2 linked regions of the Neodiprion lecontei genome follow. Each later gene encodes a partner of the first gene's protein in a complex. Links are inferred from orthologs where the notes say so. Each region holds a gene or a part of one and is shown in the gene's direction. Other genes may lie near its edges. The genes, in order: cysteine desulfurase, mitochondrial; adrenodoxin-like protein 1, mitochondrial.

Region 1 (16,586 bases):
CATCCGCCTACTGGTAGGCAGCCAGCTTCGCCTGGACCCTTTACTAGTGAATTAGATCGCGTACAATTAGTTGGAGTAAAACAGGAGTCAGAAGATCTGTTTCGGTAACTGAATCATTGGGAATTCTTCGGCATCGAAAAAGCCGGGATAGTCATCAATCATTCCCCACCGGTTGAGCCTGGCACGTCTTCTCCGACTTTCTAGTAAATCGTCGGCGATTGCGTGAAGAAGGTGATCGAACGACGTTGGTAGCTGCAAACGGTTTATTATTACGTAATCAGAGCGCGGCGGATAGCACGAATTATAGTTATAGTCATATGTCCTCGCATGTTACAGTATATTTTTCAAAAATTGTACAGAAATGCCCGTATTGTACGAGTGAGGATTTAAAAAGCATGCGTTATATGTGCTTGAATAATAAAACGACGAAAAGTTGCAAGGTGAATAATAAACAATCCCACGTTTCACGTTCACCTCCGGCACACTCGCAGTATGACACGTACGTACTTACATACATACATCGCCCACGCGCCTGGTCCCCCGGTGAATAGGAATTGTACAGTTATGCGCGTCCAAGCTGGTTATGAATCAGGAAAGGTGGACAGTTTGATTTCAATCGATCATTTCTTACACAGCCCGCTATAAATACGAATAATAATTCAATACACATGTGATAAGTATATCATAAATATCATTTCAACCTGCACGGAATTTATCTGGTGCAGATCGTAAAATAGAGAAAGAGCACTGAATCGGGGGTGCAGAAGAGTGATGGATATGTACACATGCCCGCAATGATCATTGGTCGGTACATCTGATTTCGAGAAATAGGTATCGGGAGATGTAGTAACCTGCCAACTGGCGTAAGTTTCTGAGAGTCGTTTCCGGTCCATTGCAGCGGATGAAATCACTGGAAATTCTTTACACGCACTCAATAAACCTCATCGTGATTTTCTGAATCACACGGATTCCGCAGCTGCGTCACAACGGAACCGAACCGCTCCCGTTTGACCAAATGTGTGTTATAAATAAGTATTAATACCTATGCGCAGAAATAATAATAAGCTACGGCAAACAAACACTGCACGCTACATCCGCTGTTTGATCCGCTCGCTGCCTTAAGGAGTCACCTGGTGTGTTAGAAAGTAGACCAGAGCATGATTCCATACCTAGACGTACGCGGGAAGACAACCGTCGAGTGGAATTTCCAGCTGTCTTGATTAGGTAAACAACCCAGACAACATGCGACGAAGTGAAAAGTTGACCAAAATTCGTTGCCCAATAGCCTAATTTTAACTAAACTGTTTCCGCTGAGACTTCGAGGCCTCAAGATGTCTTTAGATTTTAAATTTGTACAGTCAATTCGTCTGTCAGCGTTAAAAACTACCGCTATCCGGTGAGCCCAAGGTAACGTGAGCTACATATTAACATTCTCCGCAAATCTGCGGATCTATAACGTGTTCTCGAAAACATAAATTATGAAACATTATACATATCAGTTTGGGCTTTTTAGATTCGATATTTTTCGGCTCAAAATTCCTTGCTAAGACATCGTTTGGTTAAAAAAAATGTTATCATTAATTAACCTCATCTGCAGAGTCGCGAAGTTCTCTACATCGGAAGTCTTTAGACGATTTTCGACTTAAGTCGTATCGAGGAATACGAAAATGATTTCTCGCACGCACCTTTCGCTCCGCGATGTTATCTGCAAGTGATCCAGCAGAGTGGTTAAACTCGAACGTCGGACATCCCGATATCCCGGATCTGACTGGGTAGCTTCTTGTTTTGCACTGATAACACTTTGTCACCCTTCCTCAGGTTCATCAGCTATACATGAACAATGGGAAGGGGCACAATGATGCGGTGGTAATTAAAATTGCATGGAATTGTATTTTCTCCGCATATACGTATCGCATTACCGCGGTGAAAGCAGTATGAAGGCAAATCGCGGACGAAGAACGCGCGAGGATTAAAGGTTTGTGTGCTGGGGGCCACTGGCCAGAGACTGGCCATAGATCCCGGGCGGCAGGGCCACCGTATACTTTCACGAAGGTGAGCTCGGTATCCGATTGGACGCGACGTCATTCGAAAGATCTGTTATATCAGAAAGAGCAGACCGACTTATGGATAGTGAGAGAAGGGAAGAGAAGGGAGCGGGGATGCCGTGGCCCTGTCGCAAAGCAAATGTCACATACTTCGGAAAGTTTGTATCACATGTGTATGTATATATATAATATGTAGATATTATAGTTACACTCTCCGATTGCGATATATAGATCCGCGAGAGCACCGCATTCCTACCATATGGCTGCAGCCTTTTCGTAACGGATCTTCAGACAGGGGGATGCAATTGCGATCCCGCGGGAGTTTCTGCAATTCCAATTCACGTATATTCTCCACTCGCAAGGTGATCCTGAAAATTGCATTTTTCACCAGCTAATTAACCCTTTCGGCCTGAGCGGTGACTATAGTCACCCAACGTGCGACGCTCGCTCTGTCTGAGCGGTGACTGTACGCTTGCCACGACTGCTCGGTCAGCGGGGACGGTGTGACGTAGAATGCGTGCGTACCGAAAGGGTCAACTATTAGTAACATATTATTCTAAGTTACCTGCAATACTGCAATCATATCTAGAATGTCTGGAACATGTATAGTCTCTTTGATTAAGGAGACTATATTATATATCAGGTATAAACATTAAAGCGCTTTTCAGTAATATTCCAAATCTAGATTGCAAAATTATATGATCTAGTGTAGATCATTTTCATTCCTTCAAGGATCTTTGCAAAAGTGCCTAAGATTAGGCAACAGACACGACGGAGTGCGATGCGAGTAGCGAATCACAAGGCGGCAGGAAATACGGGTACATAAAACAAAAAATCTATAATATCAAAAGCAAAGATGACACCCATCGAAAAGATAGTTTTAGATATAAAAATGGTTTTTATTCACGGTAATAAAGTCATGGTTCTAAATAGTAATGTTTCAGAATAACTACGTCCGTTAAAATCGCCGGAAGCATCCCATCCGCAACAATCGTGTTATGTTTACTTAGGTACAATCACGGTCACGGTAGCTGTCGTCCCCGAGATAGGCAACGAAGTTACACGTTTAATTTCGCACAGAATTTCTCACCTAAATTGCTATGTATCTTCGGTTGCCCATCCCAGGAGCTACAGATGCAGTGACCGTGGGAGTACATATGATAATATTCCCACCCAGAATAATGGGGAAATTTGAGAGATTACATCGCTTTGTTGTGTATGCCTGGTCCAATAAATTACTACAGCCTACGATTTGAGTTTCAGTTCAATTAGTCATGGTGAAACCTATAAGACCTATATCTTATACCGTATTCGTTAAAGTAAGTAGCAGTACCGATTTACAACGTGAAACGAGCCTCGACGTGATCGATCTACGATCCTCGCTCCCTCCCCTCACCCTTCCATCACTTTCCCGACTGATGATCTATGCTCAAATTCAAAGAGTCCGGGCAGTCATTGCCGCCAGATTGCTGCTTCATGCCGTGCACCGTCATGTCCAGCATAGTACCAAAATCGGACTTTACATTCGCGATGGAAACGTCGTCCATAGAGTAATCGTTTCTGGTTGACTTCGACGAGTCCCCGGAGTCGGGGTTCTTCTTCTGTTCACCGACGGGCAATTCACTGACAGTGAGTTTTGTATCGACGGTCGACATTGCGACAAGACCCTTGACGACGTCAGAGGGCTTAAACGAGATGTCGGAAGAGATGAATTCGGATATGGGAAATTCGGTAGTCTTGTTAACGTCGATCACTGTCACGTCCTGGGCCTTGCCACCGAGGGGGTTGAACAGGTTGGCTAGGTTGCAGGCGTAGGCTGGGGACGTCTTGGCAATGTCGTTTATTGAGAAACCCGACAGTTTGGCCAAATCACTGGTTGAAAAGTTGGCCAGCTTCGAAAGGTCCGAGAATTTGCTCAGCTGCGATATATCGGCGAGTGGGAATTCAGGAATCCTGTTCTTGCCGGCACCGTGGGAGCTGGAATCGCTCGACAGGAGATTGCTAACCTTGGAAAAGTCCGCGGTTGAGAAATCGTAGTCTGGTTTGGAATTCTTTACGGAAACGGTCAGTTCACCGGATGTGAATTCAGCCGGCAACTTGTGCTTCGCATTGAGATTCATATCCGGCATCGGTAAGTCGAATTTCTGCCCTTTGGTGGCTTCAAGGGTGTCGTTTTTGTCCTTCGAAGTCGACGGCACGTTGAACGGCTTTAGTATGGAGACGCTAGAGTCTAGTTTAAAGTTTACGGGAGTGAGGAAAAGATTGTTAGGATTGATGCCAGAACGGCCCATGGGGTCAGGCACCAACGGGAACTTGACATTCGAAAATATATCCGAATTTCCCGCTATGCTCGATGCTTGCGTTGTCGTTGGCGGATCCTCCATTCCAGGTGCAACGATTTCTCTGATGGCGTCCCAGTACGATCCGTTTGACTGGTTCCTCGGTAGTTTTGACTCCAATGAGCTCTACGAAAAAGAATGATACAAAAATGTTATCTAGCACTGATTTACTTTTCATAATTCTCAATACACAAAGTTTTTGCACGCGTCGCATACTTGCCTTCAATTTTTCCAAATACGTCACAGAACCGTTAAAGATTCCTTTGAAGTCGACACAGCCGTCATTTTTGTAATACTCGACACATTTTTTCTGAAAAATTAAAAACCAGCCATTATAGTAGATACCTGAACTGCTGCACAGTCGCTAACTACGGCATTGAAATTCAGTGCTGAACATCTTACAATTTCATCAATAGCTTCCTGAGAAAGGAATTGTTCCTGGGACAGGGTGTAGCTGAGCAGCATTGGTCTCGGGTACTCGTGAGGCCGATTTTCCGGTGGAGGGAGCGACCAAAAGAAGTTGAAGTTTGACTCGTAGCAGTTATTATCTGTGTTATACGGAGCTGCGAAAAGTGAGCCAAAAATTTAAGACTGTTGGGATGACCAAAACGCAAACAACGAAACTCACAGCAGATAAGCCCGACACATGGTGTGTAACTATTGTCACTCAGTCCTTTCATCTTTATCTGATAGTCTAGTTGAGAATCGACATCGCGGAGCGACGGCGACGCGTGCGTCCTAGGATGGGAATGATACCATCCTACCAACGTGAGATGCTTCCATTCCATGGCTCGTGCAATTTCAGCCTCAGTTGCTGCAGCTGCAGTTTTGTCTTTCCCATTACATCGGCATGGAAACGCGTAGTTTATTGTCAAATCTATGGGCATCAAGATCCTTAATAAAAACCCGCAATTTTCAATGTTGTCTACAAATATGTGTTAGGAACTGAACCTCACTGTGAGCATTAATGTCCCAATGCCCCCCAAGATAACCACACACCTCCTTGTCCTTGAGATGGCAATGCAGGTCGACGATGAGCGCTGCAGTTGTGGAGAGAGTGACAAGAAATGGCTGAATTTTCCCAAGGGAACTGAACGACGTCAGTTCAACCATTGTGCTCATGTCCCTGCAGAATGAAACATGTGATATCTGATATTTGGCACGGAAGTGATGAGTTACGGGTTGACCAATAATTAGCTTACATTGCGTGACTTCTGATGCCGAGGTTGGTGTGCTTGACGGGAACTCTGACGACTGGCACGCTAACCGGTGGTTTTTCTATCACCTCCTCTGTTTCAATCGCGGCATCCATCATCATGAGGCTGAAATCTAAGAGAACACAAGAAGTGATCCACGAACCATGTAGCTAAAATCGCTAAAATTTGTGAGAGGATGAGTCGAATTTTAGGTTATGTATCGACAATAATATAAGCAAACCTAATTTTAAGTTCAACTTTGGGCAAGAATCGCAATACAGTACGACCTAAGGGTGATTTTACACAGTTACGAATAGCATTGTTGAAGAAATCGTTAAGATTTGTGATAATACAGTGCGGGGAAAATTCAGGAAAATCAGGATTACACTCTCGCGGGCGTCGGCACAGGGTCGGTACTGTTGACACAAACAAAAAGCACGCGTACTTTTAGTTCAGTCTGCTACCACGGCTGTCACAGAGCAGTACAGATGAGAAATTGACGCGGCATTTTCAAAACAAATCCAGAAGAGTAACATAACACGTAAATGAGACGAAGGTAAATGAATGTTTCGAACAAGAGTTTTACTTGGTAAATTATTTTAACTGATTTATAAAGGCTGTGTAATTTCGTTGACTCATTGAAGACTGTCGTTGACTGGAGACTATTGACGTTTTAAAAACGGTGACCCTAATCAGCGTTGATCAGATTAAAAATTTTTTTATGAACGTTTTATGTCAACGGTCATTTCAAAGGGTATGAATTCTACAAATTTTATTTACTATAGTGATTTCATAGAATCCATGCCAATTCTTTATTTCTGCGTTAAATGCAAATGTATAAAAGTGTTTTTGTACAGAATCGCGTATAGAATCGGGATGTTGAGCTCGTTTTTGCGTTTGAGATACGTGGACTTCGATGTTTGCAAATATATAAGTCAACATCAAAATCGACCAGGGCACTCTTAACAATGACTACTCTAAAACGGTAACCATCAGAGGAAAAGAAGAATACTGAAAGATGATTTCACATATTGGATGCATATTGGTCACTTTGGCACAGCTCATGCGCGCATAGTTGAATCTATCCAAACAACGCACTGTACCTGTTAACTCTAAACGTCTCTGCGTCGCATCAAATTTTTATCACAAATTCGTACGTGTAAAGTGCAATTAGCAAATGACAATCTTAACAAACATCCTGCACGGAGTTTTTCGCGCCATTGACGGCTGATCGAGGCCGAGGGGACGAGTTTCCGATTGGTGAGAGGCAAACAGAACCGCAGTTACGAGCAGGAGCTGTTCTATCAGGGTTACCGACGCTCTTTCAGGTTAACCGCACTTCACTTCACTTCATTCCAACTAATCTCTTTTCGTCGCGGCACCAATTGATCGGTGATCCTGCGTACGCCTAGCTCTCGACTCTCGAGATTCAAGATCTTGATTAGATCCGTACAGTTTCCTCTGCCTTCGCATCGAGATTCCTAACCCAAATTCCTCCTTTTTTTGAGCGCGCGACCGGCCAACTGATTGAGTAAATGTCGCACGACTGAAGAAGGCCGATCAAACGAAAGAATGTTTCGTTTGTGGAAACGACTCGTGCCTCTTGCGCGCGATCACCACGTCAACGAAGTGATTTCGTCGCCCAAGCGACACTACGCGGCTGTCAAAGAATTCGAATGTACGCTGAACTAGTAAACGAAAGATTTTACTACAAATTATGCAATTGCGCCTAACTACTTGTTAAAAATCGTTTTTTTCCAGCTCCCATCAGTGATGAGTACAAAAAGGGTCCAGCGGAGGGTCGGCCCTTGTATCTGGATGCCCAGGCCACTACACCATTGGTAATTATCCACCTCTCGAACGGAACTAAAATTATTCTTAATCTCACACTTGTGATTGTATAAACGTATTTTGTTTTAATAACGGTTTGTTTGGAAAAATTTCAATCGCTAAACTTCGCTAACTTGTTTTAATCAGTATTAGTACATCTGGGTGTCAACTGATACGTCGATTCTCATTTCAGGACCCACGTGTGCTGGACCAGATGATGCCGTACATGACAACATACTACGGCAATCCGCATTCCAGGACTCACATGTATGGATGGGAAACAGAGGCAGCTGTTGAGCGTGGTCGGAAAGTTAGTAAGGATCTCGTTTTCTCTAAGTGCTTTATATTCTATCCTCTTTCAATTTCTCTTGTAGCAAGTTGCTGATCTGATAGGAGCTGATCCGAAGGAAATTATATTCACGTCTGGGGCCACGGAGTGCAATAATATATCTGTCAAGGGTGTGGCTAGATTTTACAAGGAAAAGAAAAAGCACGTTGTAACGACACAAACTGTGAGTTGAAAAGGAAAATTGGATACGATGTAAACTATTTGATGCTCCATTTGATAATGTTTTCACTGTGAAATAATCATTGATGTTGGCTTACGTAGTTTGTTTCTAATTTTGTGATTACATTCCGTTTCAAATATATTGTATGCTTGAAATAAAATTAATTGGAGACCAGAATGGAAATATTTGTAAAACATAATGAAGTATGAAGCCACGGGCATTTGATGAGAAGTATTGAGGTCTCTCAACTTGTTCTTTTTACATAGGAACACAAGTGCGTTTTGGACTCCTGCAGAGCTTTGCAAGCTGAAGGATTCAATGTCACATACCTCCCTGTCAAACCCAATGGATTAATCGACATAGACCAACTTGAAGCTGCTCTGAGGCCTGACACATCACTTGTTTCGATAATGACTGTGAACAACGAAATTGGTGTCCAACAGCCAATTGCAGAGATTGGAGCTCTATGCAGGTTGTTATACTGTAAAATATATTTTAAGTTTCAGAACAAGACAAAGATAAAAGCGTTAAGTATTGAGCAGTGAACAGATTATCATATTTGTTGATATTGCAGAAGGAAGAAAGTTTTCTTTCACACAGATGCTGCGCAAGCTGTAGGAAAAATTCCGATCAACGTGAACGCGATGAACATAGATCTCATGTCGATCAGTGGTCATAAGTTGTACGGGCCAAAAGGTAGTGCATAAAGAGATCGAGAAATTTTTCAAAATATCCATGCATCTCAACTAATGTTTCAGGCATAGGAGCACTCTACGTCAGGCGTAGGCCAAGGGTTCGTGTCGAAGCCCTTCAAAGTGGCGGGGGTCAGGAAAGAGGCATGAGAAGTGGAACGGTGCCAGCACCTCTGGTGGTTGGGCTGGGGGCTGCTTGCGAGCTCGCACAAAAGGAAATGGCTGTTAGTACAACACTTTCTCAACTTTCCATATGCTTCACTGTAAAGTGTCCAGCATTACAGAAAATTGGGAAAACCTGAAAATGTCATGAGATTATTACTTTACAAGGAAATTTCAGAAAATTTCCAGGAATTTCATCAGTCTCTGATTTCAAAAGAAATTACATTTTTACGTCAGTTTGATAGTATCTGGTGTTAAGTATCATCTTCAATTTGAACTGAAAATTATCTGGATTAATACTTGTGTTCTTCTCCACGTTTACAGTATGACCACAAGTATATAGAAGATCTTTCCCAGCATTTGATACAAAAAATAATGGGCAGTTTAACGAATGTGGTGCGTAACGGTGATGAAGTTGCCTGGTATCCTGGCTGCGTGAATCTCTCTTTTGCTTTTGTCGAGGGAGAGTCATTGCTGATGGCTTTGAAAGATGTGGCGTTGAGCAGCGGCTCAGCTTGCACGAGCGCCAGTCTAGAGCCAAGCTACGTCTTACGTGCCATTGGAGCTGCCGAAGACCTGGCACATTCCAGTATAAGGTAGGCGTGAATGTACAATTTTTGCAAACTAGGATATCTGACATATAAATGCTGACAATGGCAAATTACTGTGCATTTCAGGTTTGGAATTGGTCGTTTCACAACTCGTGAAGAAGTCGATTACACAGCGCATAACATCATACGCCACGTTATTCGACTCAGAGAGATGAGGTATGTGTTTTATGCGCTCGATGTCAAAATTGAAACTCTAGCAAAAGTTTTGTTTGCTTGTAAAATTGATATAATTCTGTTTTCTCTTCCTCCTGCCAGTCCACTGTGGGAAATGGTACAAGAGGGTATCGATATCAAGTCAATCAAATGGACGCAGCACTGAACAGTTCCTACTCAAAAAGGGCTTTGTACACGGATTATTTGTTAAGTGATACATAGTAAATTATGACTAGCTTAGTGAGATTTCAAGTTTCCAGATTTCAACATTGCATTCGCTGCATAGTAGTATAAGAGTTTATGATAAATGAATAAATTTTTATTTTGAAAATTTATCAAATCGCCACACATCATTCATCCTCCGTCAATAAATTATTATAATATTAATATATGCTCAGCCAGCGTTTGTCATGACATAAATCATGCATTTTTAAATTGAAATCCGTTTCCTCTTGAGTTGACTAGAGAAACGTGTTCTGGGCATTAAAAGCTGAATCAAAATTAGCACAAGCAGGATGGCTCGTCGATTTCGTCGGAACTTGTGATTTTGAAGTGGTCCTTGTCCATATCGTGCAGTTCCATACGCGATCTGTTTGCCTCGACCAAATGGCGTGCAATATCTTCAAACATTTCATCAACCCCGTGCCCCGTTTTACACGACGTTTTGTACGTCGCCGATATCAAATTGTGACACTGTTCACTGGGAAACAAAAGTTACGACTGTCAATGAACTTATTGCTTTAATTCTCAACATATAATTACGATGTGAATAGATTATTTCTCTTACCAGAATTGTTCCATTTCCACATCTGTGACCTGAGGATCAACGCTTTCCAAGTCGCTCTTGTTCCCGCAAAGGAATATCTTAGCGTTTTCCGCGTAAGTTACAATGTCAAGAAGGTGCTGTGAGAGGAGGTGAAAGGAGGTCGGATTGTCAAGCGAAAAGACCAATATTGCCGCCTCTGCAAATTTGTAGTAACTGGATGTTATAGAGGCAACCCTCTCCATTCCTCCTGTGTCCCATAACTGCAGCTGGAAAGTCAGGACCACCCTCGACGTTGTAGAAAATTAGCCAAAATTGACAGGTGTAAATGAATATACTTGTCCGACACAATAAATTTAAAGCTGCACTTGCACGCGTGAAAATAACTGAACGTAACAGGCAAATGTGCTACTTACGCGAATCGTTTTTTCGTCAATGGTGTACTGTTTGTTGATATTGTCCAGTCCCAAGGTCGATTTTCTATCATTGTTTGAGACGAAGGTATTGTTCGCGAATCGCCTAAATATCGAACTTTTCCCGACCCCGTATTCGCCACATAAAATCACCTTTTGTTCGGTTACCTTGATGGTGGCCATTTGTTTACATCTAAACAATACTACCGATCATTGTTTAACGGGTTATATTTCCCACGCGTATTATTACCGATTATAACTACACACATTTATGCATGCGTACATATGCATATTCGTGATAATTAAAAAATATTCGCGCAGATTGCAGCATCTTTGTTCAGTCATAGACGTTTTGCTAAGCTCATAGATGGCGCAGACTGCCTAAAAACCGAAGAATCACCCTCGGTGTCCAACTACATCTATAATTAGTCGATTAGGTGCAATGAACAGAACCACTAGCAAAAAAGCTAGGAAACTTGCTACCGTTCACATTTGCGATCTTTGCTTTATTACATGTCTCATTTTTATATTTCAACTTAACATATGTTCCTTGTAATTATTTCGATAAGCAATATTTGACTCATCAAGCAATCACTGGCAGGTGCTGCTGCTGCTGTTCTTGAGATGAGGTCAACGCGGTTATCTTCTTCTTAACAATGTGAACCTTCTTGTTTGACAGGCATATGACGTAGCAGTGATCTTCGTAGGTTATGGATATTTTGTTGAATGTTTCATCGGACGCAAACGCCTTGGGATCGATCGTGTCGGTCAGAGTGATCAGGCTCATGATAATGTTTGCAATTCTCTCGTCGTTTTCCAGCTCTCCACCCGACTGAAATGACAGCAGTGAAAAAAAAAAAACAAAAGTAAACAATGATGAAGCTCTCGACTTGTATCGCGTTGTCATACCGTGAGTACCGCCCCGTCCTCTTTTAATACCAAATAACCGATTTGCTCAGGTATTCTCTCCATCGACAACATCTTCAAATAACCTAGCGGATGTTTGTATATTGCAGAATGGTAAAATTTAACGTAAGCACTGGGGAGCCGAGTATCAAAATTGTCCTTGCGAGGAAGTGTCACCTGTCAACACACAAAACCTGTGGTTTGACGTGTGGCGATAGTCTAAAATACAACGCGGTAGCCAGCGCGATGCAGCGCGATGTATTTTTCTGCTCTTGTTTTCTGCCTGCTTAGACTTCAATGTAGCCAACTGACAAAACTTGGAAATCTGGAGATATCATTTATCGTTTGTTCACCGTGGCGCTGTAATCCACTCTCCTGTAGTTTGGTCTCAAATTTACTCTCTAGCTCCTCTAGCTAATGAGTGCTGAAAATGGCCGAACTCTGTGAAGTTCGCGGTATGATTTTCTGTAGTAAACCACTGAGTTTACATCACTGATCTCTAGCATACAAGTAGAGGTCAGTGGTTTACAAATGAGACATAAATATCATTACATATCAGTGTAGCAAATGTCGTAGTTTCATCCTTGTTTTGACTTTGAAAATAAATATCTCATTTATTCTGAGGCATTAACAAGACGTTATTATCACGCATGACACTCACAGAAATTGCTAATTCAGCCCGCCTTTTAAATAACACCACACAGTACCTTTAATGCATGTGCAGTACATATTTCGGATATTTCGGGGCAAAATGAAAAAATATTGCGAACCGTAATTATGTAGATAGCCTGGAGGGCAGCTGTTATTAGTCCGATATTTTATGGCGGATGCCACCGCTGTTACATTGCCTCTCGGGCTTCGGCCGATTGACTCGACGGCTGGCCGCTCTAGGCGGCAATCGATTGCGTAACCAACTCCCGTTAAAAGAATGGCGCGTGTCAGCAATACTGTTAACGTCTAGAATTCGCTATCAATTTTATGTAGGGGTGGCATCAATTGACCCGTCAATGACAATAAACCGTTGGTTTATTGTACTCTTCGGACCCGGGGAGCGCGTCCAAAGGTCCCTGGGGTACACAACTTTCCGCGAGAGATAACACATCTCGGGAACCCGGTCGACGGGACCAGTGACGGTGCAACTCTAGGATCGTTCGATACGCGGTACGCAACCCGTTCCGTACACGTACTCATCCTATCCCCTAGTCGTATAATCCGGTAATAATAACAATAACAGGCGCCATGTTCCGTTCCTTGACTCGCCTGTTAGGACCGAGTGCCGCCGTGGACAGTGCGGCTCGATTACTTCGCTGCAGTACGTCGTCCGTCGCTCTGCTCGACCGAAACTCCTCATTCGACGCATCGCGCAGACGAAACCTTACGTGGACGACACAGACATCGAAAAACTTCAGCTCCACGTCAATCGCTATGGCTAAGATCAAGGTATCTATGAATGTACATATCTCACCCTGATCCATCACGCTCCCCCGAGGCGTCGCCCTGTTAGCCGATTCATCTTCCTGCAGTTTAAAAAACATTCGAGTCTCATACGGCCGGTCGCGATCGTCGCGTATCCGTTTTAAACAGTTTCTATACTAATGCCGCGACTGAGAGAAGGCACTTCAAATCACGAGACACTTGCGATTCACCTTTCGGGGAACTTTATTGTTCGCAGCGTTCGTGTTCCGAAGTATTCCGTATTTATTGCATGATTAGAACCCCGTTCCAAACCACCTTGGATGATAGTGCACATTATGGTGCACAGTGCAGAGGTCGATCCCCTCTCCTCCCCCCCACATTTAGTCGACCCATCGTTTGCCGTGGAATGTCGATGGTTTCACTTAAATAGAAAACAAGCTCGAGGTCGAGTGAAAGCTAATAAGTTTCGAATGATAAGGTTCCTACTACAATGTGGATATCACAGCGATCATTATCTCACGCGATATAAGCCGTAATAATCAATTGATTGATAGTTTGATTATTTCTCGGAATTTCCGTTCATGATTAGATTGTACAATGAAATTGTTGTAAATAAGATGTTCAGCAGTTTCTTATGAAAATACTTAAAGAAACAGCATTTTTCCAACAGGCTGGACCCGTCGTTGACATTCTTGGAGATGAGATGACTCGTATCATCTGGGACTCTATCAAGAACAAATTGATACTCCCGTTCCTGGATATTGAGTTGCACATTTATGATCTGGGTATGGAGAACCGGGACGCAACTAATGACCAGGTGACGGTGGACTGCGCGGAGGCTGTAAAGAAATATAACGTGGGCATAAAGTGTGCGACGATAACTCCGGACGAAAATCGAGTCAAGGAGTTCAAGTTGAAACAGATGTGGAAGAGCCCCAACGGCACTATCAGGAATATACTGGGCGGCACTGTCTTCAGGGAAGCTATAATCTGCAAGAATATTCCGCGGCTGGTGACTGGTTGGAATCAACCCATTATTATCGGCCGTCACGCCCATGCTGACCAGTACAAGGCCACAGACTTTGTGGTACCAGGTGCCGGTAAACTGGAAATCACCTGGACAGGTGAGTCAGGCGACAAAATCCAGCACACTGTCTACCAGTTCAAGGGGGCTGGCATCGCTCAGGCCCAGTTCAACACCGACGAGAGCATCCGTGACTTTGCCCACAGCTCTTTCCAGTATGCTTTGGCTCGGACCTACCCGCTCTATCTTTCGACCAAGAACACCATCCTGAAAAAATATGATGGCAGATTTAAGGACATTTTCCAGGAGATTTACGAGGCTGAGTACCGTTCCAAGTTCGAAGCAAAGAATATCTGGTACGAGCATCGGCTCATTGACGACATGGTTGCCTACGCTATGAAATCCGAGGGTGGCTTTGTCTGGGCTTGCAAGAACTACGACGGAGACGTTCAGTCAGATTCCGTTGCTCAAGGTTATGGCTCTCTAGGCCTGATGACCTCTGTGCTTCTCTGCCCTGATGGCAAGACGGTCGAGGCTGAGGCTGCGCATGGAACAGTCACTCGGCATTACCGCCAATATCAACTGGGTAAAGAGACATCGACCAATCCGATTGCCTCGATCTTTGCTTGGACAAGGGGCCTACTACACCGTGCTAAGCTGGACAACAACAACCAGTTGAAGAAATTCGCAGAGACTCTGGAGAAAGTTTGCATTGATACGATCGAGGCTGGAAGTATGACTAAAGATTTGGCAATCTGCATCAAGGGCATGAACAATGTCAAAAGGTCAGACTATCTTGAGACGTTCGAGTTTATGGACAAGCTCGCTGACAATTTAAAGAAGGAACTGGCCAAGGCGTGACTGCAAACATACATGTTCCCAGATATCCGGAGGTCGAAGCTTTGAGCCCAGGAAAGGGCTGCTGCTTCATTTATTCCAGAATCTATTGCCAATTTTTTCAGTTTAAACCTTCGAGGGGTGTTTATTGGATGAGGAAAATAGTTTTTTTTTTTTTTTTTTTTAGACAATACATGCGTTAATAGCACAACACTCAAGTATTCTTAAGTATGAAAATGCCATTGTTATTACAGGAACCTTTAGCCTGTGAAATATTTTTGTAAACCTATAAGTCAAATGAACGATTTTCGTCTGGTTTTCAATGTATAAACAAAAGGTTTTATAAATATGTTTTACAATGATTTTACCATTTGATTGCCTCATTTACAGGAACTGTGAAAACCTGCATGTGCGAATATTGTTGGATTATCTATAGTCTCGTATTCCTTCGAAATAGCTGTGGACTGATATGAAACCTTGCTCTACAGCTACACTGTATTCAAATTATATAACTTCAAGACTTCCTGAGTAGCCATGGTCAAAGATCAAGTTGGATACTTGAATTGCGTATACTTTACGTAACTCCACAACTTGAATGTTGGCATAAAACGCAATTCTTTTCCACCTATATCTAAATTATCGGTAACCGGTTACTTGCTAGTTCATTGTAATGAAAGATTGATTTCAACAAATTGGTGATCGATGAGTGAGCCTTAAATGCGCCGAAAATACAGCGTTCGTTTGAGCACTGAAAAAAATTATGAAGCATTTACTTCCGAACTATCGGCTTTGGACGAATAGTTTCGAAGGGCTAATAGAAAGTCATTGTATTACAAGACCAGTGTAGTGCATCATGATAATTCCTAGGAAATTGCGTCACCGAGAGCGAGAGGTATTGCAGTATCAAAAACCCTCCTAGCCATCTAACTATCCGAACAGAAGGCTTCTAGACAGCTGTATTGGAATTTTCTCACCATGGATGCTATAGAGCTGTAGTATCGGCAGTCAGTGATGAAATGCAGCTTTATCGTTTAATGGAATTGGATAATTCATCCAGTGCGATATACCGCGGTATACATCTATGCTTGGTAAACGCGTATTTTATTATAGTTTTAGGTTACGTTACGTTCAAAAAAACCTCTTTGCCATCTAACTATCGGAACAAAGGGCTCCTAGTCAGCTGTACGGGAACTTCTTTACCATGGGGGTTGGAGGCATGTAGTTCCGGTAGTCGGTAATGAAATGCAGCCTAATTATTCAACGGAATAGGATTATTCGCCAAGTGCGATATTTTGTGTATACAATTATGCGTGGTAATCGCGTATTTTGTTACAGTTTTATGTTACGTTCCATTACATCGTGATAAAAATGTGTATTTATAGTACCGCGTGAATCGAACGCAGCCCACAGCGCTCGATTAGTTATTCGCGCTCCGTGCTCGCTTCATCGCCTTCTCCTCCTCCTCCGGCAGCCCGTCGTCATCGTCGCGGAATAATTAGGAAAATAGATCGTCTGATACACACGGTTGAAATTCGGTATGCCTCGATCTGTGGGAATATGTGCGTCATTCCATTGAAGTGAGATTAATTAAGGCGGAGGTAAAAAGGAAAGAAAAGCACAAAGAGAACTAACGAGGAAGAGACGAGCTTGTTAAAGACCGACGACGTGAGGCAGACGCGTTTAAATAACC
Region 2 (15,021 bases), about 3.3 Mb from region 1:
CCAGCTATTTGGAGAGGTAATCCTGATGGCCTACAAAAGCAATAAACGATCATCGCTAACCCTTTCATCAATTGTTGTTTTTATTATTATTAGATATGCAGTATTGATTAATCTTAGACATTTCGATAGATGATTGCTGTCTGGTCTGTAAACGAATGGAGAAAAATAAGCAACCAATCTGTGCAGCTGGTGGAATTAGGTCCGGGACGAGGAACCTTATCAAAAGATATACTCAGGGTGTGTCAAAAGATCTCATTAGTCCAAGGCTCACCTTTGTTCGTTTAGTTCAGATACACTAGAACCAAAAAAAAAAAATTAGCTTTGAGGCTTATAATTTTTACTTCGAAATATTGCCCACTCTGCCAGACAACCAAATTACCTGAAATTTGCAAAACTTATCCAAAATGCTGTATGTAGGCTTGAAGAGTTACGAATCAAAACTCAAACGTGTATTTAATCTATCTGGTGGTAATGGTTTATGCATGATAAGTTTCAAGTGATTGTATGAATTTCTAATAAGTTAAATGCATAGATTTTCAGCTCTTCAGCTGACTAGAACAGTATAAGAAATATTTCAATGCTAACTTCACTTACCAGTCTATATTTGATCTTTAAACTTTAATTTTGAACCTAATGCTTTCTGGTATTTGTTTTATCTATGTTGATTAAACTCTTTACACGGTTCTATGGACTTGTTGACTATCTTGCATGCATTTTATTAGCTGGTCTCACTTTTATTGAGCATATAGCGAAGCAAGGGCCTTCCTCTCTCTTGTAGTATTGCTGATAGATAGGTGTCTCTGTCGTTCAGGTTTACCACAAACTGGGATTATCCTCCAGAGTTTCATTACATTTGGTAGAGGTCAGCCCAACACTGTCTGACCTGCAAGCAAAGAATTTATGCAAAACATATGAAGAAATTGACAATGACAAATGTCAATCTTATTACAAACATGGCACAACAGAGGATGGTGTCACAGTGTTCTGGTATCGAACCATCCACGATGTTCCTTCTGGTTTCAGCATCATAATTGCACAGGAATTTTTCGACGCTATGCCCATACATAAGTTTCAGGTGAACTAATCTGAGCGTGAAGATGGAATTTCCAGCTTCTTAGCTGCCAATTTAAAACATTGCTTCTTCCTTTTTTAGAAAACAAACGAGGGATGGAGAGAAATTTTAATCGACATCCATTCAGAGTCGAAAGAGACTGAAAAATTTCGCTACGTCTTGTCTAGGTCAGCTACTCCGAATACCAAGTTTTACATCTCTGTAAGCATTAGTGAGCGTAGGAAATATCTAACTTTCTAAAACAAATGAAGATAAGTTACATTTGATGATGAATAAGGTTTAGAGTCTGTTGTTTGCTGTCCGAATAAGTATGTGTGAAACAGTTATTACAAATTTGAAATATCTAAATGAGATACGCAATTTTAAATATAACCGTTGTTGAGAATTCTAGCACATATGACCCATACATGTAAAATTACATGATTTATGTCACTAATTTATATGCATCAATTTTTTTTAGGAACACGAACGCAGGGATCACATCGAAACAAGCCCGCAAACCGCCGTAATTATAGATTATATTGCAAATTTTCTCATAGGAAACGGAGGATTCGCGCTTATTGCTGACTACGGTCATAACGGAGATCGAACAGACACGTTTCGAGCTTTCCGTAATCACAAGCAGCAGGATCCACTCACGAATCCAGGAACAGCTGACTTGACTGCAGACGTTGACTTCTCACTGCTGAGGAGAATAGCATGTCAAAATAATCGTCTGATATCATTTGGCCCCGTCACCCAGAGACATTTTTTAAAACAGCTTGGTATCGACACCAGGCTGATTATGCTGTTGAAGAAAGCATCCGACGACAGTACCAGAAAAGCATTAATTTCGGGATACAGTATGATTACAGACGAAGACAAAATGGGAAACTGTTTCAAGTTCTTGTCTCTGTTCCCCTCAGTGTTGAAAGATAATTTGAATAAGTGGCCTGTGGCAGGTTTTCAAGCAATTCACACACCGGTGTAGAATAGTTGAAAATTATATATTGTTAGAAATTGTTTACTCTCAAGATTTTCTGTAAATATTTTGTACTTTGGAGCGTTCTTTTCGTGTACATGAAAATGAGAATAAACTTCATCGCTGAGAGCAAAACTTGTATTTCATGTTCCGTCGACAATATCTCGAATATTTTGGTCTACAAGGATTGAATTGACGCGCGCAGTTTTGTCGTTTAGCGCCATCGTTGAGCCGCTGGCGGAAGCTTTTATTTTTCGTAAGGAGCACATTGCACAAATGCGCTATGGCGCGTCGTATCCTGGTCGTATTTAAAAGTCTGTGGTCGTATCTAACCATAGAATTGATAAAAACAAATCAAGAACACAGAGTCAACAACGACGTGGTGGGTAGTTGTGTATAATTTTATTTTACTGTAAAGTGCTGTAAAGTCCATGGATTGAAGATCGGCCAGGAGTTTAGTGTCGTTAAAACGAGGTACAGGCTTGTAGCTGAACTGTGTCAATTCCTTATAGATTATAATCTTGTCAAACAAACCTAACCTCTTTTCTATCTTCTAACTAAAATTCAATAAATGATTTGTTACAAACAGAACATCGTAAAACACTTCTGTCCGGAAGACAACAAGAGACCGTGGCGATGTCAGAGATTCAAAATGACAGTCAAGAGGCGGAAAAAGTATCACCCGATGTGTCAGAGGTGGACAAGGAGTTTCTGATGGAATATATCAGGGAGGCGGAACAGCGTTTCTCAACAAAGGAAAAGATCCGATTAGCAAACCTAAATGTGTCCCGTCCGCCTGATTCGCATTTCAGCAAACTGGATTCCAGCTTGAAGAAAAATACTACATTTGTCAAAAAGCTCAAGAACTTTTGTACGGCTCAGCTGGATACCGTCCTGAAAGATATGAGCAATTTGAATTTAACGAAATATATAAGCGAAGTGGCGACAGCTCTTGTAGAGGCTAAATTGAAAATGACTGATGTCGCGCCAGCTGTGAAGGTTTGCAGTTACCTGCACCAGAATTATGCCGAATTTGGCGCTCATTTCTTTGAGAATTGGCAGAGGATATTGAGTTTCAAAGTCGGTGACAAGATTTCAAATCCTAGCAAGCTAAGGGTAGATTTAAGATTTTACGCTGAGTTAGTCAATGCTGGCATATTTACGCACAAGCAGGGTCTTCCGCTTTTGGGCAGCGTGCTCACCGTACTCATTAATATGGACAAAGAAGACCACAACAACGTAACGATAATTTTGAGTTTTTGCCGTCACTGTGGTGAGGACTATGCGGGTCTGGTACCAAGAAAAATAAGAGAGTTGTCTGAGCTATGGCCAGGCGAGCCTTTGCCCAAAAGCAGACTACTGTCTGCCGACAAGCAGCAGAATGTTCGAACACTACTGCGGGACTATTACAACTCTCTGTGCAAACATCTACTCAAGGAACACAAAGAGCTTCAGGCATTCGAAAAACAGAATCGAAAGATACTGCAGACCAGAGGTGAATTGAGCTCAGAGAGGAAAGAAAAGTTGGAAACTCTGCAGGTATCCTATGAGCGTTTGTTCAGTGGCGTGCAAAGCTTTTCAGAAACATTAGACGAAAGCATGCCTGAACTGCCAGTCGACATGGAGGTTAAAACAGAAGCAGAAGAGTCTTTCAAGATGACCTGTGACGGTGAGGATAGCGGCACAACAACAGAAGATATGTGGGGCGATGAGGAGACTAAGAGATTTTACGAAGTATTCCCAGACCTCACCGTATTTTTGCCTGGTTCTTATTCAAAAGAAGTACCTGTGCTTAAACCTGACGAAAATCAACTAACAGAAGAGGCTCTGGACGAGGAATTGGCGCTGGAAGAACTCGAGGACACAGACAAAGTTGCCGAAGAGCCAGAGGCAGAGGTTGAAGAGACACACGTCACGAATATCAGCAACAAAATATTATTGGACGCGTTTCTGACTCACCTTCCCAATTGTGTTAATAGAGAAATGATTGACAATGCAGCTGTTGATTTCCTTATGAATTTAAACACGAAGCACAATAGAAAGAAACTCATTAAGGCCCTGTTCGGTGTGTCCAGAATTCGGCTAGATTTGCTGCCCTTCTACTCACGGCTTGCCGGCATCCTTTATCCAGTTATGCCAGACGTCGCTAATGACCTCTGTCTAATGCTCAAGCAAGATTTTAAGTACCACGTTAGAAAGAAAGACCAGATCAACATTGAGTCAAAAATAAAAGTTGTTCGTTACATCGGTGAGCTTGTTAAGTTCAAACTGTACTCAAAAATTGAGGCACTTTACTGTCTTAAAGTACTATTGCACGATTTCACTCATCACCATGTTGAAATGGCTTGCAATCTATTAGAGACGTGCGGGAGATTCTTATTTTGTTCCCCAGACTCTCATCAACGCACAAAAATCTACCTGGAACAAATGATGCGAAAAAAGGCGGTTACTGCTTTGGATTCGCGTTACGTAACGATAATAGAGAACGCTTACTACTTTGTTAATCCACCAGAGTCCACTGGCGGTATTGCAAAAAAAGAAAGACCACCTATGCACGAGTTCATTAGAAAACTACTTTACCAGGATCTGTCCAAGGCAAATACTGACAAGGTATTGAGACTAATGAGAAAACTGGACTGGGAGGATGACAATATTTCTACGTATGCTATTAAATGCCTTGTAGCCGCCCATAATGTAAAGTACCTGAACATAAGGTGCGTTGGTAGTTTACTAGCAGGTTTGGTGGCGCATTATGAGGCTGTTGGCCCTTACGTTGTAGATGGCGTTCTGGAAGACATAAGGCTGTGCATGGAGGTAAATTTGCCAAAGTATAACCAACGTCGTATTGCAATGGTCAAGTACCTCGGGGAATTATACAATTATCGCCTAGTCGAGAGCGGCGACATCTTCCGCACTCTCTACCTGCTCATAACTTTCGGCGTTTCTACAGATCATACAGTACCTACGCTCCTTGATCCGCCTGAGCATTTGTTCAGAATCCGTTTGGTCTGCACGCTCCTGGAAACATGTGGTCAATACTTTAGTGGTGGTTCTAGTAAGAAGAAACTGGATTATTTCCTAATATTCTTCCAGCATTACTACTGGTTCAAGCGTAGCGATCCTGTATGGACCGTCGAAAATCCATTTCCAGTCAGCGTCGATTATATGTATCGTGACACACTGACAATGCTTAGGCCAAAGATGCAGCTGTTCCAAGGTTTCAAAGAGGCCCGTTGTGCTGTAGATGAATTGCGCAACACCTTGTACCCAAGTCTCGCCAGAATTGAAGTAAAGGAGGACGAACAGTATTCAGGTGAACCACGCGCATCCGACAGCAATAATGAATCTGAAGCAATGGGAGCTATACCAGAGGTCGATGAGGAAGTGACGACACCTACGCCAATAGCTTCAGGTAACGGAAGTGGAGATGCCAAAGGTATACTCGAAGAACTGCACTTCGATGAAAGTGAAGAGTATTCTGAAGCACAGTCGGAAGATGACTGGGCAACAGATGGTTACAGAGAAGGTAATCATGGTACACAGGAAAATACTCAAGGGGAGTTCAGTCTATCGGCAGGCGTGAGTGAGGGGGTTGTTATGGACCCCTCAGAATTAGATGCTGCGCTACCAATGGCGCCAAGGCGGGTTGGCTGCCCAGAAGATGACGATTTTCTTTCGGCCCTTGACAAAATGGTGTCTGACAATATCCAGGACCGGATGCGTGACTCGGTGAAGCCACAACAGGTTGATATATCTGTGCCACTCCATGTCAAGAGCACAAAAAAGACGTATGAACAATTACGTGAAGGACCGTCGGACAATACGACTGTGGACTTTGTACTCATGCTTAGGAAAGGTAATAAGCAGCAGTATAAAAATCTTGCTGTTCCTGTGTCTTCCGAACTCGCTATGAATCTCAGGAATCGGGAACAAGAACAGAAAGAAGAAAAGGAGAGGGTGAAGAGATTGACACTAAATATTACCGAAAGACAGGAGGAAGAGGATTATCAAGAGACTATAAATCAAGGCACTAGACCTGTTACCGTTAATCTGAACAGAGAACGTCGACAAAAGTACAATCACCCAAAGGGTGCGCCGGATGCTGATCTTATTTTTGGGCCCAAAAAAATTCGATGAGCAGAAAATAGTGTAACCTCGGCAAGGTATATTGTAATGATAACACTTGATATCGGTTTCTTATGCCTGTGGTAGCCATACTACCTGTGATGATTTTTATGCTATATGCATAAGTGGTTACACACACACACACGTTACGCGAGTACATCAAATGTTTAAGTATACAAAATAATGTACGCTGTTCTACAGATCTCAAATTCAAACGGGGATGTGTTTCCAAGTGGGATCGTTCGATTGAAACCTTTCGACCCCAGCTTTACACATCCATTACCAATAGGTATACGTGTAAACTCGGCATGCGCCGTTAATTGAGAAATAAACGTTCCAACGTTAAAATTACGTACAATAATTCGCATGCCTAACATCACATATTCCATCAACCATTTCCGACACACGATAGATAGTTACAATAATCTTAGATTGTCATTTTTACGCAAGGTATACTTCTCCGTCTAAAATCTCATTCCCATTAATCGCGTTAATGCGCAATGACAAAAATCAAATGCAATATTATATCTATATTTATATACCTATATTTTTTACCATAGGAATAGTTATCATGTACAAAATGAATATGAATATAAATTCGAGCGCTTTGTGTCTTAGCTGACAGAAATTTACTTCAGAGTATTGTGATTCGGTAAGCTTATAGCATTATGTCTACAACGCGCATGAAAATAAACTGCACGAACAAAGAGATATAGTGACGATTGACGCACGTTTTAGTTGACAGCAGAGAGTAGAATTTAATACCACCAACTACCTAAGGGTCTTCTTCAGCATCTTCAAACTGGCCTGCTTCAATATCCATGGCTTCGTCTGTATCTGCACCGTTCTGATTATATGCTTCATCTGGAAAATTACCATGCCAATTGAATGGTTACAGGGCCAGCATCTAGATAGCAAATTGTATTCAATCTAACCATTCAACAAAAACAGAGAGAAATCATACCCGATGCCAATATGTATGGCATAGCGTCTGTTTCAGCTTCCCAACATTTGAAAACATCGTCCTCAGCATCCTCATAGATATCCTCTTCAGCTGTGAAGTTTTTGTTCATTTCTATTCATTATAATTGTTTCTGTAACTTATAACTTGGAATTGAAATCTATAGGGTTCTGTAGCAGAGTTAGAAATAAATAAATTTGGTCAATTTGCGTGAAAAAAAAAGGTGCATTATACCTCCAAGGTAGAATACAATAGTAATTGAAGTAAAGTCAAAAGGATTGTCATGAATTTGAGGCATGACCATTTAGATACCTTGAGGATCAGGGTGGAGTGCTTGGCACTGGCTCATCGCTTGAAACATGGCATCCAAGCTATTTGAATTTTCTGGAACGAATCTCATTTCAGTCATTGGAGTTTCCGATTCATCGTCGTCGTCCTCTTCATCGTTGCCTTCAGATCGGGCATCTATAGGCAGCAATTCTTGCATATCTGTTGATATAGCATGACACAGACATACAGAGATATTTGTCCAAAATTTGAGTTAAGAAATACAAAAAAATCCTCAATCATCAACCGCAAGTATAGCACATGTATAAGGGAAAAAAGTATCCTCGTTTTTCATTTACCTGCAGGGTCTAATTTTGCATCTACCATGACATAAAGGTATTGGTGAGGATGTAGTTGTTGGTCCCTTGATATAGCATGCAGCGATATATTAGGATATTCCAATGAAAATCCTTGACCAGTCGTCCCACTAACCCATGATAGTAGGCTGAGAAAGTAAGATTACTTATAACACAGCCAATCCATGTTGCATATGGGTTCTAACCGTTGCTCTTGCGAGCCACTAGTTTGAAACATCAAATAAAGGGAGAGTTGTGTTCTTCACTACCGATACTCTTATTTTTATCGTGTCATCTACTTTAATTTGCAAAAAATTAATTCAAAGTTTGTACTGTAGAGATTCTACGCTGACTATACTAATTCTATAATCAGTATTACACCAAAATATAATATAATCTTAAAATTATTACACGAATAAAATTTAGTGTAGATCACTGCCAATCTAGGTCAACAGTACGATAAAAACGGCATATTACCTTTCTGTCACATACAGTGTACCCTTTCCAACTTCTCTGTCATTTATGTACAACGTAGTGTCAGGCTCTTCGTGTCTAACACCTTCTTGCGGCAGTAGAAAATTGATCAGCACGACCATTTTACAATCTGCAAAATAACACCACAAATTAAACCTATTCTACGTTATCATTATTGTAAATTAGAAGAAGTTAATTATTATAGGTTAGAGTTCAGGAGTCGAAGGGAAACCTACAACTTTGGGCGACTTGATTGATATTCGTAGCTGTATGACTGAACAGCAATTACGGAATCAAGAGCATTTGCTTTTCGTCGTGGGCAGCCGGGAAAATGGTTCTGAGTCAAAAACTCTTAAATCCACATTTTTCTTTTGAAAATATGTATCGCTCGAATGAATGCAGTACTTTGGTACCCTGTCGTTTCTCGGTCCAAGATTCAAACACGTCGCGCAACGAATGCAAGTCTGTCCGTGATAATAATGTAATAATTACCGAACTGATCGATCTTACCTCGTTTTACCTGCCCTTGACGTATGTACGGTACTTTCCTCCGCAAGTATCTCTTGCCGTTAATCGAGAAGAATAAGAATCACGGAAAGTATCGCAAGCGCTCGAAGCGCGGATCGTTCACTGCAGTTTTTCGGCCTGGTACATACACCCGGTGCACCCCTCGAGGGAGAAGATTTGACTCCGTCCCGCCTTTCTCTCTACTTTTTACCCTCCCGCAAAAACGCAATAGAGATTTTGACACTGCGTCGCCGGGTTTTCTCAACCCTCCAGCTACGCTGCATACCCGTGGAGCTTATGTATATATCTCGGTCTGCGTCGTGATTGGCTGAGCCCGCTCACTCAACCAATCACGGCACAAAACGAGAACTCGACGTGCTCAGCGGAGTAGGTGCTGCACCCTGGTACCCAGACCTCGTATTCATTTTGTAAACACAACTTGAAACTCCTGCACACGTATGTAACATGATGCATACATTATACACACACTGTCGCAACCTCGTGTGAATTGACAAGTCGCCGCTAAGTATTCTGTCTGCTCTTGCAAAAGCTACCTGACCGAAATGACAATGTCTTTGCCAAACCTTTTGTCGAGGTTCTTAGTAAAGAGATTATTGTTTTCGTCAAGCTATTATCGTCCAAAAATGTTTTCCCAGCTTGACATGCACACAACTGAGCGTAAGTCGCAGATCACGATTTCACGACCATTCTAACCTCTCAACGGAACTTCATAATGTGTCTATACCATTTTCTCCTTTAAAGGACTAGGTCACGGAGAATACGAATATCAGGATCCTACATCGGAGGACCAAGTGTAGGTTATTACATTCAAGTTGCCCGATTTACAGTCAACTTCTTAAATTTTCGATCAAGTCCTGTTCTTACGGTTTTGAAAAGCCGGATAGAAATTCTGCCTCTCTTATTTCGCAGCGTCAACGTGGTGTACATTACTAAACATGGAGAAAGGATACCAGTCAGAGGAAAAGTTGGTGACAATGTATTGTACTTGGCGCACAGGCACGGAATTGAAATGGAAGGTGCATGTGAAGCTTCCTTGGCCTGTACGACTTGTCATGTCTACGTAAATTCTGATCATCGGGAAAAATTACCCACAGCAGAAGACAAGGAAGAAGATTTATTAGACCTGGCTCCATTTCTGAAAGAAAATTCCAGATTGGGTAGGCTTTGGCAGTAAACGAAATTAAGATATCCAGAGTGGACAGAAAAATTCCTTTACAGTAACACTCTTCAAATTGAGGTACTTTATTTAAAGAGAATCTTGCGATCAAAATGAAATTCGCGGAAGTCATGCCGGATTGCCCTGGTTACTTTTAATAACAGTTGGCTTCCTTCACTCCCTTCTTAAACATGAATATTGGAAATTGATATTGGATTACATCCGATTTTCACCACTGTACAAAGTTTCAGTTAAAAAGAGTTACGTTTGCTGAGATAAAAAAGAAATGTTCCTAATATAATAATTAACTTCCATGTTATATATACCCCATTTCTTGGATTAATTTTTGATTCTAGGATATTTCTAGGATTTGTTTGTAGCCACTGTCAGACTCTTCCAATAGATGAGCTAAATAGATACTTTACTACTTTTTCATTCTTTCAGGATGTCAAATAATTCTGACTAAAGAATTAAATGGATTAGAACTTGAACTTCCAAAAGCTACAAGAAATTTTTATGTAGATGGTCACACTCCAACACCCCATTAAAAAAAAGGGAAGAATTGAATCTCCTACATGTTCAGAATCCCGCTTGTAGCCACATCATAATGTATTGTATATATAATATATTGTACATATAATGTATAATAAAAACCTTACCTTTTTTGATAATTGATGCAATCATTCTCATACTGACGACGATTTAGTGTTTCTACAGAGCACAGTAAACTTTACAGATGCACAAAGCATCACATTGACGGAAAAAAAAGAAACATACTTTTACAAAGTCACATCATAGTTTCACAGTTCTACTTTTTGTCCTTTTGACATTGCAAGTTTTACGTTTTGATTGCTCACTCACGTCTTTTTTGCTGTTTTTACAATATCGTTTGTGATACCCAAAATAATTTAATTTTTTATTCCCGTTTACGATCGTTGATATTGACTGCATTACTACCTTTTACATATCGAGCTTGGGTAATCAGGAATATAATGTTAAAGTCTGAATCAGTTTCTCGGTACAGTAGTTATTTTTTTTTTTTATCTCGGATTATAATACATATCTCTCCAATTACAATGATACAAGATTTAAACATTTACGATATAATGAGTTAATGAATTAAAGTAATTTGATTTTTCAATATTACATATTTTCTCTTCCTCTTTTTGCCTTACGTGTCAGACAAACTCATTGAGTCGAGTTCGTTGTGTAAATATATATATATACATACAATATACGTATGTACGTGTATATATGTATTTTTTTTACATACATACATATATAAATACATATGCATAAGGTGAATATTTGTCACGATACAAGTAAGAGTTGTAGAAACTCTTATTTAATTTATCATAACTTCATAACATCTCCTGATTCTTCCAACATGCTACCCAATGTTCCATGGTGAACTTATAGGCGTACATGTTTTTACATTTAGTACGCATATTTTCACCAACAAACCAATCGTATTTGTGTTCTGTGTGTATAATTATGTGTGTGTGCGTACAAGCGTGTGTAAATACACGACGCACATAATCGTACTCATTTACTTATTTTGGGTTTATAATATTATTGTTATTATCATCTTATGACCTACAATATTTGTTTTTATATTATTTATACTTTTTATGCTGATACGAATGATCAACGCGATCATGGACACATTGTAATACTTTTGCAAGACATTCGTCAACTTCCTCTTCTGCACTCATCCTCTCATTCTCACTCTTTCTCATCCAACAATTGAACAATAACTTATGAATTAAACGCATCATTCACTCAAACGCATTTTCTCCTACAATTGCTGCCGCACATTTAGAGATGATTACACGCGTATCCTCATTTGGTAAGAATCATCACAATTACGGATGCATTGGGGATAATATAGCTTTGTACTTGTTTGTAATTTAAAGAAAAAAAGACAAATCTTTCAACATTAAATAGCAGTCGTATATATATGTACATACATATATATATATACAAACACACGCATATATGTGTTCGTGTGTATGGTATACATATATTATAAATGTAATAGTATGTCCATTAAAACGTATGCGTTGCCAGTTGTAATTGCAACGGAGGTTGCGATCGGCCTAACCAGTCGACCAATCAATAATTTATTGTGTTATCATCATGCCGTTCGTATCAGAATCACAAAAATTTGGATAACGAACGATTAGAAAATTACATCGTATTTACATTCTCCATCAGATCATGTCAGCACTGCCGACAATGATCAACGATTCAACCCTTTATTTTAGAATTTTAAAGACAATTATTTAAATTGTAACGTCGCTGCGCAGCATTGCAATTCTAATAACTTTTCGTGCGATATTCACATTCTCTGTTGCAAAGTTGGCAGGCAATACGTTCAACCTCCTTATATTATTTTGAACGTTTCCGTCGCACACTTGGTGAACATGATATACGATAGAAACAACTTTGGTGACAATATAATAACTTGCCCCGTCGTAGACCAACAACAATAGTAATAATAATAATAATAATAATAATAATAATAATAATAAAGATAATAAGAACTAATGGGTGAAATGTCTTCACTGGATATAAGATATATTATAAGTTAATCAAATAAATATACACATATATATACGAACATATCATGTATACACACATGTGTATATGTCGTATATGTGTATATATAAATATATCATAAAGCAATATTAAACCTAATCGCGCTATTCTATAGCAAAAGGTATTCTATGTGCTCCTCTGAGCCTTTAGGAACACACCGATACCTTTTGAATATACAAAACTGTAAAAAAGTCAATACAAAATCGAATACACTAATATTCATCCGAAAAAGCTTCTCCATTTATACGGTATACATACTTATAGGTATATTCACGACCATGCACACAGTCGCGCAACTTTTTCACTTTTTTACGAAAACTGCAAATCGGTGGAAATAGCATACGATTATTTGGTACCCCTGCATCGGGATTACAATTATTGGGACGCTTAAACGGATTCCTAGCCGTAACAGCATACTGCCAAACGGTATCGTACTGCAACCCTTTTGTCCCCATATTTTGGCATAAAAATTTCGTTTCAGTAGTACAACACCCTCGACAAGTTTAATAGCAGTGCGATTTTTCAGTTCGACCACACTTGAGAATCGGTAGGTACTTCAATCTTGATAAGGTGTGCGATGTCGTATATTAGTACGTTTAGTATTTTTTTTTCGCAAAATGCACAGAGACATATATATATATACACACGTGATTCATCTTTAAACCTCTTCTGTATCGCAGTTTAAACAGATTCAACGGTACGAGTATATTCGATTTTATCATACGTACACAGAGTTCGATAATTTGTACACGCTGTGATTTTAAATTAGTATACATATGCACGTACTTCCCTATTGCGTGTTTCTTTCTCCGAAAAAATTGTGTGCATATATTTGTAACAGAATACCAAACAGATCAAATGAACATTTAGAACTGAATCTTGACAAAATTGAACGAGTCTGTGAACTGGCTGGAGACCTATATTTCTGAAGACCATAATCATTAGTCATCGTTATTCTCATCATCATTACCGTTATCATCGTGGTTGTTGTCGTTGTGTCATAGTTATTATTCGATACAAGTTTTAAAATGCGGACAGGAAAGAATGCTTGCGAAATGGAGCACTTTTACGTACGTTTACTTTGCTAGATGCGGTATGTTTTTTCTTCGAAGACGATAAGTACGGAATAAATTTGATTAACGGTCGTATCCGCTGCTGCTTCAATGATGCACACTTTCTTCCGCTGTCCACTCGTTGTTATAATCGATAGAGCACCCTGTAGATTTAATAAGACATAACGAACCATAAAGTCATAATACCACATTAATATTTGAGTGTGCGGAATGCATGTTATTAAAAAGCTAACCTTATAGGCGACATTGGTGTACAAGAGCGTGTACCGGAAGCTGCCTACCCCTCTGATATCTCTGACGCCGACCCATGCCAGGATCGTGGCAATGGTATACATTTGCAACAGCGACATTAGCACCACCGACTGTTGCAAGGCGTCTTGAGACGTACTCGACGGAGAACGGGACAGAGATATCAAAGGGCTCCTCCAGTTATTCCATGGGATAATGGCGACCTCCGCACAACCCGCAAGACATTCCGCACCAGTGAACGGCGCGAAGAGGTGGGTAAAACCACAAACAAGGAACAATCATTGACAACAGAGCCAGTCCGAACCATCGCCGACCACAGCCTTCCTCCGTACTGCAGCTGCGAGCCCATTTTCAGTTCGATTTAAAATTACTTTCATTCATTACTTCTCATTGCGCGATTCTGGGAGATTTTAGGATTTCCAGACCGAAAATTGATATTTTTCATTGTAAAAAAAGTCGTGTTATTCAGTAATCATGTGAGGAACAAAAATTTTCGAAATTAAAAAAAAAATAAATGAATAAAAAAAAATAAATAAATAAATTAGTATTCAACCACCATAATAGCAAAATTTTATACTTTAAAATTGGCATTAAAATATGTATACTCTGAATTTTAAATATATAAGAACGTTTTCAAGTTATAGTGATACCGTCACTTACCTGCACGGGTTCTGTGCAAAATCCCCCTCAGCGTCGCTCATGCAGTGATATAGCATGCACTGAGCACACGAAAGACATGAAACGGTGGCGATGCCCCGTCTGACTGGATCAGGTGCGTATTCACAGGCACCTCTCGGATTGTGCTGCTCAGAATATAACTCCTGGCAATGTTTACACCGTAGACGTACACTGCTATTACGTTTCCCGCAACTTTTTGCCATCTGTGAAACTATTACATCTGGCTTCTTGAGCGAGCTGGAAGAGCCGCGTCTGTCGAACCTCCCACCTTTATGGTCCTCGATAACTGGGTACTGGTACTCATGGTTCAGGGTTGTCAGTTGTACGTACGGGTAATTGTCTGTACTGACGTCCATTGATTCCAAGGGATGATGCGGCGGAGGTAGCGGCTTTGCTGAAGGGCCGCCAATGTAATGAATCGGTGGTGCTTTATGGGGGTCCAAAGAAAAATCCGGGCACTGGGAATGATGGTGGTGATGATTTAGCTTACGAACTGCACCCCGCTGTGTTTCGGATGATG

Evidence for each region.
Region 2: the proteins of cysteine desulfurase, mitochondrial (region 1) and adrenodoxin-like protein 1, mitochondrial are in contact, whole or in part, in a cryo-EM structure (PDB 8RMC), measured with the Homo sapiens proteins. The link is inferred for Neodiprion lecontei from reciprocal best matches to the Homo sapiens genes NFS1 and FDX2. Residues at the interface, in NP_066923.3 of Homo sapiens: Gln153, Lys157, Leu160, Asp161, Arg164, Ala168, Tyr175, Ala384, Ser385, Leu386, Glu387, Pro388, Tyr390, Arg393, Gln456, His457; in NP_001384335.1 of Homo sapiens: Ala104, Cys105, Glu106, Ala110, Cys111, Pro141, Leu142, Ile169, Thr170, Arg171, Asn172, Phe173, Tyr174, Val175, Asp176, His178, Lys181.

The regions. Positions count from the first base shown.
Region 1 is NC_060264.1:23,140,859-23,157,444, forward strand, and holds cysteine desulfurase, mitochondrial, read left to right. Parts: upstream 1-7,122; 5' UTR 7,123-7,152; coding exon 7,153-7,258; intron 7,259-7,341; coding exon 7,342-7,421; intron 7,422-7,603; coding exon 7,604-7,720; intron 7,721-7,784; coding exon 7,785-7,922; intron 7,923-8,185; coding exon 8,186-8,391; intron 8,392-8,493; coding exon 8,494-8,615; intron 8,616-8,677; coding exon 8,678-8,835; intron 8,836-9,097; coding exon 9,098-9,369; intron 9,370-9,450; coding exon 9,451-9,540; intron 9,541-9,639; coding exon 9,640-9,703; 3' UTR 9,704-9,872; downstream 9,873-16,586. Other genes in the region: uncharacterized protein LOC107224137, read right to left, coding at 3,449-4,510, 4,605-4,694, 4,787-4,947, 5,013-5,261, 5,341-5,510, 5,587-5,702; GTP-binding protein YPT6, read right to left, coding at 10,039-10,237, 10,325-10,569, 10,717-10,896; ragulator complex protein LAMTOR4 homolog, read right to left, coding at 11,297-11,545, 11,623-11,694; isocitrate dehydrogenase [NADP] cytoplasmic, read left to right, coding at 12,859-13,059, 13,706-14,920.
Region 2 is NC_060264.1:26,452,753-26,467,773, forward strand, and holds adrenodoxin-like protein 1, mitochondrial, read left to right. Parts: upstream 1-9,199; 5' UTR 9,200-9,286; coding exon 9,287-9,401; intron 9,402-9,485; coding exon 9,486-9,537; intron 9,538-9,653; coding exon 9,654-9,901; exon of another isoform or gene 9,902-9,981; intron 9,982-10,344; coding exon 10,345-10,448; 3' UTR 10,449-10,571; downstream 10,572-15,021. Other genes in the region: protein arginine methyltransferase NDUFAF7, mitochondrial, read left to right, coding at 1-16, 130-237, 812-1,075, 1,154-1,273, 1,533-2,042; regulator of nonsense transcripts 2, read left to right, coding at 2,670-6,170; methylosome subunit pICln, read right to left, coding at 6,934-7,022, 7,123-7,233, 7,432-7,608, 7,746-7,891, 8,220-8,338; sprouty-related, EVH1 domain-containing protein 1, read right to left, coding at 14,004-14,160, 14,484-15,021. UniProt on the Homo sapiens protein: Electron donor, of the core iron-sulfur cluster (ISC) assembly complex, that acts to reduce the persulfide into sulfide during [2Fe-2S] clusters assembly on the scaffolding protein ISCU.